Mus musculus: one gene and its partner. The protein of the gene in region 2 interacts with the protein of the main gene of each other region in a biochemical or structural test. Links are inferred from orthologs where the notes say so. Each region holds a gene or a part of one and is shown on either strand. Other genes may lie near its edges.

Region 1 (4,573 bases), on a different chromosome or scaffold from region 2:
TCACTAGTTGAAATCCTAAACTCTCTGAATGTTTCCTCATTTGTAAAATGAAGAAGGTCGAAGAAGTAATCATAATCATCCTATATTTTATATGATAGATAGCTTTTGGGGTGAATTGTTTAGTATTCTTCAAAATGTTTCTTAAATAAAAGATCAAATACCTCACTTCAGTATTTATATTGGCTATTTTATAAATGCCATGATTTAATGTGTAATTCTTTAAATGTATATTTGGTCAACAAAAGGAACTCTTTTCCTGATTGTCTGAGACAAGGTCTCATGTAGCCTAGCCTGGCTCTGAATTTGCTATGTGAGGGAGAATGGCTTGAGCTTCCGATCCTCTTGTGTGTTGGGATTACCTTCATGGACACAACAGAAGTTTACACAGCGCTGGGGCTGGAACCTGGGGCTTTGTGCATTTAGACAAGTGCTCTATCAACTGAAATATATATCTAGCCCCCATAAACCCAACTCTTTAAAGCACTTAATCATTACTATTGGGATCTTGTTTGTTTGCTTGGTTGTTTTTGTGTGTGGTGTATTGGAGGGGTGGTGAAGACATGGTTCACAAGGAGGTCAGAGGACAGGTTTGTGCAGTCAGTTCTTTCCTTCCACATTTACATGTGCTTTTGGGTGCCTGGATTTAAATTTAGGTCCTCAGGCTTGCACACTAAGTGCTTTACCTGTTGTAACATCTCACCAAATCCAACTCTTTTTAAAGAGAAAAGTTCTCTTCAAATTATGTTAGATGCTTATATGCAAATATCTCTTATTTATCCACAAAGGGTCCAGGGATAGAGAAATGAATTGTATTTAAATTTAGGAATTGAGAGAAAACATTTACTGCTTCATGCTTTTGATACCAAAACCCTTTTTAGTGTGTAAACATATTGTTTATAGCATATGAAAACAGGCATCATGCTATTGATCTTTATATTCCTTTTTTTTTTTTGAGAAAGAATGACAATATGTAGCTCACTTGATCTCAAGTTCTATATTTTCCTTCCCTAGCCTTGGGAGAGCTGGGGCTAGTGATGCATCCATACTTATATGTTCATAATGTCTTTAGATTTTGAACTCCACTAGGCCCATGTTGCATCAATATAATAACAGTAGGAACAGATTTTTTATTTACAAATTTTATATCTATGCATGAGTGCCTGCATATATGTGGGAACACTACAAGTATGCCAAGTGCCTGCTGAAGCAAGAAGAGGAGACTGGATCCCCTAGAACTAAGGCTACAGGTTGTTGAGAGTACATTCGTTTAACCCATGAGCCGTCTGTCTGTTCAACGATTTGACTAGTTTTTACATAGCACGAGCCCAGAAATTGTGCTGTATTAACCTGCAGTGGCGAGTGGGCGCCAAGGCCATTCAGCCAGCTATCTGGCTGTGAAGTCTTGGAAACCCACAAGAGGGTGGCCTAGAACACAGTCTCTGGAGAGGATTTCCTTTCCAGCACTCTCAGGACAGAAACCCTCCTGCACCACCACTTTCTTCACGCTGTGGCTCTGTTCTCCACCTGAGGGCGCAGAGGCAGCAGTTGCTATGGCCAGAACCCCCTTGCCCGCTTTAGCCCCACGTCCATCAGCAGTTGTGTGAGTGTGGCTAGCTAGCTCTTCTTGCCCAGGTTTTGCTTGCTGCTTATGGACTCGAGGAAGATCCTGACCCAGCCCAGCCCCAGAGAGCCCACCTCTCCCGCGCTCCACCTTCACACCTTCAGACCTGCGCGGTCGCAGCGCCTGTACCCTCCCCAACGCCCACCTTCGGTCGCCCACTCCCTAAGTGTGGAAATCCTTCAGCGCATTGAAACGTCTCCCCAAACACCCACCCCACCCCCGCGTGTGCCGCTTCCGAGGCCTCTCCCTTACCCACTCCCCTGAAGCAGTAGGTGGGGTTAGCCACAGATCTCCGAAAGAGCACACCCTTGTCCCAGGGAGCTGTCTCCCTTTAGGCTCCTTGCCAGCCCAGTTTCCCCAAGTCTGAGGGCACCATCATACAAAGACCCGACTCCCCATCGCTCACCTCCGCGCAGCCTCTCTGCTTCCTACCCGAACCTTCAGTCGCTGCAGCCTCGGCACGTCCTCGGGTTCCAACCTCCCGAGCCCCCCGAGTGTGGGAAATCTAGCTCCCAGGCCCGATAAGGACAATCCCCACCCTCTCTCCCTTAAGTGACTGTTCGGTCTACTCAGTTGTCTGGTGTTGCTGCCCGCAGCGCTCCGGGCGCGGTCTGAGCGCCTACTTGAAGCTCAGCTCCGCCAGCCGGCCTGTGATGCGCTTCTCTGAAAGGGAGGTAGTGCGTTCCGGGAGTGTCACCTCCTCAACCTGCGCTCAAATTGCCCGCCCCGGGTCCTCAGACCGAGGCGCATCCTTCCCCCAACTGAGAGAGAGCCGAGACTCTTCCACTCGCTTGGGCTCTCCCAAATGCTTGGCATGTCTGATGTGCACTTTAGACCTTAATGGCATTTTTCGTCCCTCGCTGAGTCTCAGAGTCCGGACCACCTGCTTGGTGGGTCTGATAATAACCGATCACAATGGTTCGGAGCCTTCCCTCAGACAATGAGATGTTCCGAACTCACAACCCACTCGCCTCAACTGACTAACCCTAAGGGCGATGACCAGCCAGGGATTGCACCACCGGGCAAGGAGAGACTGGCGTCCCAGGTTCCTCGAGCTCCTTCTACTGCCAGGTCCAGGGCTTCGGGGGGGGGGGGGGGCAGGGAGTCAGAGAGGAAGACGAGGAGGACGCCAGGTACTTACCAGGCCAGGGTCCGCTGGGCTAGCCGAAGGGGAAGCTCTGGCCCTCGGGCCTCCGTTGGCCGTGCGCATGCGTCCAGAGTGTGCCTTAGTTTTCTTACACTAGTCAGAGCGGTTCCTACTCCGCCCGCGCTGGCTCTCTGCCACCCGCCCTTTCCTGCGTTTCTGGGTCTAAGCTCCGGAGCTCTTCTCTCTTCCTCCTCCTTTCCCTTCTCTGACTCCTCTCCGCCCCGGCGCTCGCTCGCTTTCCTGGGGCAGGGCAATCCCCTGGCTCGCCTCCTTCTGGCGGCAGCACGCAGCACTCGGAGGCTGGGGGTACTCCCTAGTCCCAAATCGGGCGAGCGGAGCCCCGGTCCTGGCTCCTCTCTTATAATCGCAACGAAATAATGGGTGCGGCGGGAGCGAGCTTTGAGGGTGCCTGTAAGGCCCTTTCTCTTTATCCCCTGGCCTTAGCTTGCGGGGGACGCCGTGGGGTGGGGGCGATCCAGAGTTTGTGAATGAGTACTGGGGCCTTGTGAATGAAGAGATGCTTGGGGGTACGGGGAAAGGTCGCGAGAGGAGCTGGTGCTTTGTACCCCGGGTCTCGCGCCTGTGAACTGCCCGCCCCTGCTGGACAATCCCCACTGAACCCTTTGACCTCAGCGCCACTAACATCCGCCCCCAACTCTCTTTGTATAGCCTTTCTAAGAGATCTGTTCTCCCACTCTAAACAGTGGTCCTACTCAGTTCCGGCCAGCCAGCCAGAGTCGGATGGCCCCACCTGGCGATTGGGATGGCAGGGTGGAGTGTATGTAAGAAAGCCTAAGCCGGGACTCCGGTCTCTCTCAGTCCCTCGGCAGTCTCCCTTTCTTTTGCGACTCAGGCGGTGGGAGGGGAAGCCCCGGGCATTTGCAGAACCTGGCGCCTACCTCTGAGGATGCCCCTCGCCCGGGTCGCCGCAGCTAGCGAAGTAACCCTTGAAGTGAACCCCTGGGGCAGTGCGCCTGAGCTCGGAGGGCTAAACTCAAGCAGCAAAGTGACCTGACACAAAAATAACATCACGTCATTTCCTCCCTCTTCCTGGGAAGAGGAGTGGGGGCATGAACGCGGCTGCGAGCGGTTACAAAGTGCGGGGATGCTTGGGGAGGCTCGAGGGGAAGCTGCAACTACAGTTGGAAAAGATCTTCGGAGGCGTCAGAGGGCTTCCTCTTGCTTCCTAGGATGGTAGAAACAGAACAGATCGCTTGGGAGAAAGTAGCTCTAATGCCTCGGTGGAGGTGGGAGTGTCCGGGAGCCTCAGGTGCCCTTTCCTCCAGTGTGCCCAGCGCTGTGCCAATCTTTCAGTATCCAGGCCAGCCCGGGTGGGCTGGGTCAATCAGGATTAGAGCGAGTGGGAAAGGCTGGGGCCTCCAGAAGCCGAGGGTGGGTTTAGTGGAGTTCCCAGTACTCACGGACTCGGGTGAACTCTTTTCAGTACAGGCGTCCTCTCCTCTGGGCTCCGAATTCGGACTTGCCAGCTTCAGTAGACGACCCCTCGGACGTCGTCCTGGCAGTGCCATTGAGGCCACAAGTAGGAACAGGAGGCGGTGGGGCTCTGGAGAGAGCCAGGCAGTAGGCCAGGAGCTTGGCTGAGAGGGAAAGTCCCTGCGCCCAGGCAAGCCACGGGAGGGGGTCGCCGCAGAAGACACAAGAACAGCTGGAGAGCAGGCTAGAAAGGTGGCGAAATGAGTCGACCCGGTGGAGTCTGGGAGCTGTGCAGGGCGGAAGGCGGGAAGGGTGTGTAAGAAAGGCGAGAAACAAAACCAGCACATCAGTACGATCTTGTCCACAGTCAC
Region 2 (4,251 bases):
CACACACATGGACGCGCGCGTGCACACACATACACACACACACACACTCGTGCACACGCATGAGCACTCAGACTAGCTAGACTGAGGATACACTCCCCCAAGAAGACTCCTTCTCAGCAGTTTCTCTGCAGGGGCATCTTGGTAGCGGTGTCTGTATTTAGTCATCCAGATACTGCTGGATCCCCCCATAGGATCCGCAGGATCTCTTGAGGTATAGATGAGATACTTTTTTTTTTTTAATCCAAAGGTACCAAAAGGTCTAGGAGGTTGGGGACAAGAGAATTAAGAATCTATTCTCTAGGCTTCAAACCCTGAGTTCCATGGCAGGTCCCTGGACTGGGCCAGGCAAGAAGCACAGACCATGTATTTTATAAGGGCAGGTGGGCTGTGTTCTTGCTGGGGCACCCTGAGCCTCAGCCAATATCCTGTGTGTATGTGTGTGGAGGAGGGGTGTGTGTGTGTGTGTGTGTGTGTGTGTGCGTGCATGTGTGTGTGCACATGTCTATCTTTGATGGTGGGCACACTACCAGGATGAGTAAGAACCAGGCCTTCTGAGAGAAACCAAAACCATCTCTGGGAAGAAGGGAGTAGCTAGAGCTAGGGCAGAAGGTGACATCGGCCTTCTATGGGGGAAGAACTATGTCTATTCACAGCCTGTCTCATAAAAAGGAAAGCATCTGTTAGAGGAACACACAGGAAGAGTTTTACAGCAAATGCAAGCATCTCTTCATGTCTAGAGAAGGCAAATGGAAGAGGCGCTGTTTTATCCAAGCACGGGACAACCCTCTGTAGCCTCCTGGGTCCCCTCAATGGCCTTTCCTACCAGAGTCATTTTTTTTTCCAAAACTTCCCAACTCCAGACTCACCAGCTAAAAAAACTGTCTCCTTCAAAGCAGGTGACTTCATCTCGGCTGGGCAGGGGGCTGGGTGGGTTGGTTACCCAGGGCCCTTGGCTCTGCCAGGAACAAGGTGCCTTGCAAGGGCAGTCCCAGGTGGCCAGGAGCCCTCTCTGGTCTCTGAAGTTCTTTCTCTAACACAACTACGCTCCAGGGGTCACAGAACCTTCCCTTTTATAGACACGGAGGCTGTGGTCTCCACCGAGACAGCCCCACAAACATGGTCAGACAGCCATGGTGTGCCTCTGTCCATTTCCCTTCCTGTGCTTTTTCTGGCCTTTCACCCACCCCTCCCTCATCCATGTCCTGACTCCTCCCTCCCTCAATATCCCTCCCCTGCTCCTTCCCAACCCAGCCAGCTGCCCAAGTTCCTGGGCCTCTCCATTCATTCTCTTCCCTCTGCCCACATTGCCCATTCTGACCCTGCCCGTGTCCTTCAAGCTCCAGTTCAAACGTTACATTGCCCATAGGCAGGTCTGACCTGAGCCCGGGGTATCTCTCTCCCAGGCCCCTCCCAAGCCCCCCTGCACTGCACCGAAGGAAGGCCTGGTTATCAGAGCACAGCCCTATTTCCCCCTGAGGAAGGTGAATCAGTCCTGGGAGGGCTGGCCCAGTCCACTCCCACCCTTCCACCTTAGCACAAGCCCTAGGGGAGCCAGTACTCAGTAAATGTTTGCTTAATTGAATCTGGCCAAGCAGCTTCCTCTAGACAGGGGCCAGGTTAGCAGACCTAGATGATGATTCTCAGCGCTAAGAAACCACTTGGGCAGAAAAGAGTGTCAAGGCTCAGGGTCCTGCCCCAATCTCCTCCACAGACAAGGCGACATCGTTACCAGGCTGGTCCCTCCACCCTGAGACTCACACTCCAGGGAACCCTGGTCTCACTTGGCATTGCTTTCCCATCCTCCTCTCTGTAACAGGATCCCCAATTCTCGGCCTAGGCAGATTCCTGCCATCCTCCATCCAGATAGGCTCAGCACCTCCCTAAAGGCAGAGCCCCCATAGATTCACCGCAGGATCCGGAGCAGAGGCCCTCACACCCCTCCCCAAACACCCCACCGCCTTTTAAGGGAAAAAATATTGAGCCAGGAACACATTACAATCGCAGCAGGTCGATACTCATCTCTGGCTCCAAATGCCTCCAAGGAACCTGCTCCGTTGCAAGAGCGATGACCGAGAACAGCGAGCTGTTGTACCGGGCCTCAGGGCCCTCTCTTCCCGTTTTTATTTTTTTATTTTTTTACCCAAGGCCAAGCTCCTGACACCTGCGGCTGCCTGTACCCCTGGACCCCCGGAGAGAGACCCCCCGCCTGGCGTCGCTCCTGCAGATCGCCCGCCTGCACTCCGCACCCGCTCAGGGCGTGCAGTGGTCCCACATCATCCTCTGCACCCCCTGCCCAATTTCGTCAGGTGGCAGCCACCCCTTCCAAGGGTTACTGGGCCGCCGCTCCTCCCTCCCAAGGCACCTGTCTGGGCCATAGCCACCCCCTGCCCACCTAGCAGACAACCCCACCCCTAGCGGGCTCTCCCACCCGGAGGGGCATCCCTGCCTCTGCACCCCTAGCCCTATAGATCTCGGGTCCCCAGCACAAAGGCCCCAGGCCCCGACCCGGGTGGGGGTGGGGTGCGCCCCAGCCGCGCCCCCAGCCCCGGGTTCAGCTGTGCGCGCCGGGGCCGCTGGTGCGCTCACTCACTCACCTCCCGGGCGCGGCTTCGTGCGTCGGTCGAGCTGCACCCGGCGGGGCGGGGCCGCGAGCGTAGGGCTGTGGCGCCCTGGTTCTGCACGAAGCGGGTGCCGGCGGCCGCGCGAGGACGTGACCGGTCCGCGGGTGGCACACACGCTCCGCCGCCCTGGCTCCCTCCTCCGCCCTCCCGCGCCGCCTGCAAGCGGGTCCACCCGCCCCGCACCGCGCCGCCGCCGGCAGGGGGCGGAGTCGCGAGCGCAGTCCGTTGCCAGGCCAACCGCGGGCGGGGTCTGCCGCTTGTCTGCCCCGCACCACGCGCTGCCGCCCGACCACTAGCTCCGGCTCGTTTTCCATTGGGCGATAACTGCCGACGGACGTGCGAGTAGTCCAATAACGACAGACAGGGGAGGGGCGCGGCTGTGCGCGCGCCGCCTTACCGCACGCGCTGCTGGCTCCAGCTACTGTGGCACTGCACTGCGCCGAGCCTTCCCGAAGCTACTTCTAGCATCTTGGGAAACCCACCTTCAGAGCAGTGTAGCCCCGGTTCCTTGCACGCTGGCTTTCCTGCCCTACCTCAAATGGGGTTCGAACTCAGCCCTGGCAACCTATTCTCCCACAATGTCTTTTTGCAAGGTGCTGTCGTCCAGGCTTCCTTGGATAATGTCAATAATCCTTTAGGGCGCGAGAAAACCCTGATGGGTTAAGCTGGAGAGATTTCGCAGCATATGGTTCGCCCTCTCTTCTGCTCTCCTTTTTTAGCATGTAGGGGCACTTCTGGGAGTCGACCCCCGCAACAGAGAGAAGCCGAAGGGTCCCAGATCAATGAAGCCCCTGACCTCTTTGGAAACTCCCCAGGAGACATCAGATCTTTGACAAACGAACCTAGCTGTGAGATTCTACTCTCATCAGGAGGAGTCCGTCTGTGGGTCTTGGCTGGTAGTACCTTACTCCTGTACAAGAAAGACTCAGGCCAGGTGCCACCACAATAGTGCCTCTCTGCCTTCTCCATCCTTGTAACTTTAAGCATATGTGCCTTAGAGCCCAGGATGAGATGGGGAGCCATGACGATAATGTTGGTGCTTGCCAGCTAGACGCTCCAGAGGCAGGACAACATCACACCACTTTCCGTGGGATTGTCTCAATTGTGCAGTGGCTGACTGTTGTACTGCATACCCCAGGTAGACAGCCCACCTGTGAAAGGGCTGCCTAAACTTTTAGGGATGGGACCAGGTACTGGTTATGGGTACTACTGAAGCCAGTCAAGACACCTGTCTTGCTACAGTGACCAATAAGGACCGAAGGACTTTTGCTAATGGCTAAAGAGCATTTCTACCAACTCATCCGGCTGTGCAGCCAGTCTGTCACTGGAACCTGGCTGAGAGTCAGTCTCCTAATCTGTCAAAAACTGTACTATCGACTCTTCAGAGGGTTAATGTATGTAGGAAATACACCTTAGCAAGTGATTTAGGCTGGGCAGAGGCAGTTTCTGCAGCAGGTTCAGGGGGCAGAGTTCATCCTTCTGCTGAGGGTAAAACCAATGTAGGAATTACATTTGACAGTTGAATTTGCAATGGAACTTACAATATTCCTGGCGAGGGAGCAGAGGCTAGTCCCTAGACAGTCTACCTGGGCTGGTTGGGGTCTGCTGGACCTGACACTGGCAACTACCA

What was found.
Region 1: the proteins of Gnaz (region 2) and Rgs20 form a complex in vitro, tested with the Homo sapiens proteins (2 studies listed by BioGRID, with this or other methods). The link is inferred for Mus musculus from reciprocal best matches to the Homo sapiens genes GNAZ and RGS20.

The regions. Positions count from the first base shown.
Region 1 is NC_000067.6:5,016,549-5,021,121, forward strand, and holds the start of Rgs20 (regulator of G-protein signaling 20), read right to left. Parts: upstream 2,992-4,573; 5' UTR 2,832-2,991; coding exon 2,763-2,831; intron 2,187-2,762; exon of another isoform or gene 2,028-2,186; intron 1-2,027. UniProt on the Homo sapiens protein: Inhibits signal transduction by increasing the GTPase activity of G protein alpha subunits thereby driving them into their inactive GDP-bound form.
Region 2 is NC_000076.6:74,965,726-74,969,976, reverse strand, and holds the start of Gnaz (guanine nucleotide-binding protein G(z) subunit alpha), read right to left. Parts: upstream 2,801-4,251; 5' UTR 2,595-2,800; intron 2,555-2,594; exon of another isoform or gene 867-2,554; intron 1-866. UniProt on the Homo sapiens protein: Guanine nucleotide-binding proteins (G proteins) are involved as modulators or transducers in various transmembrane signaling systems.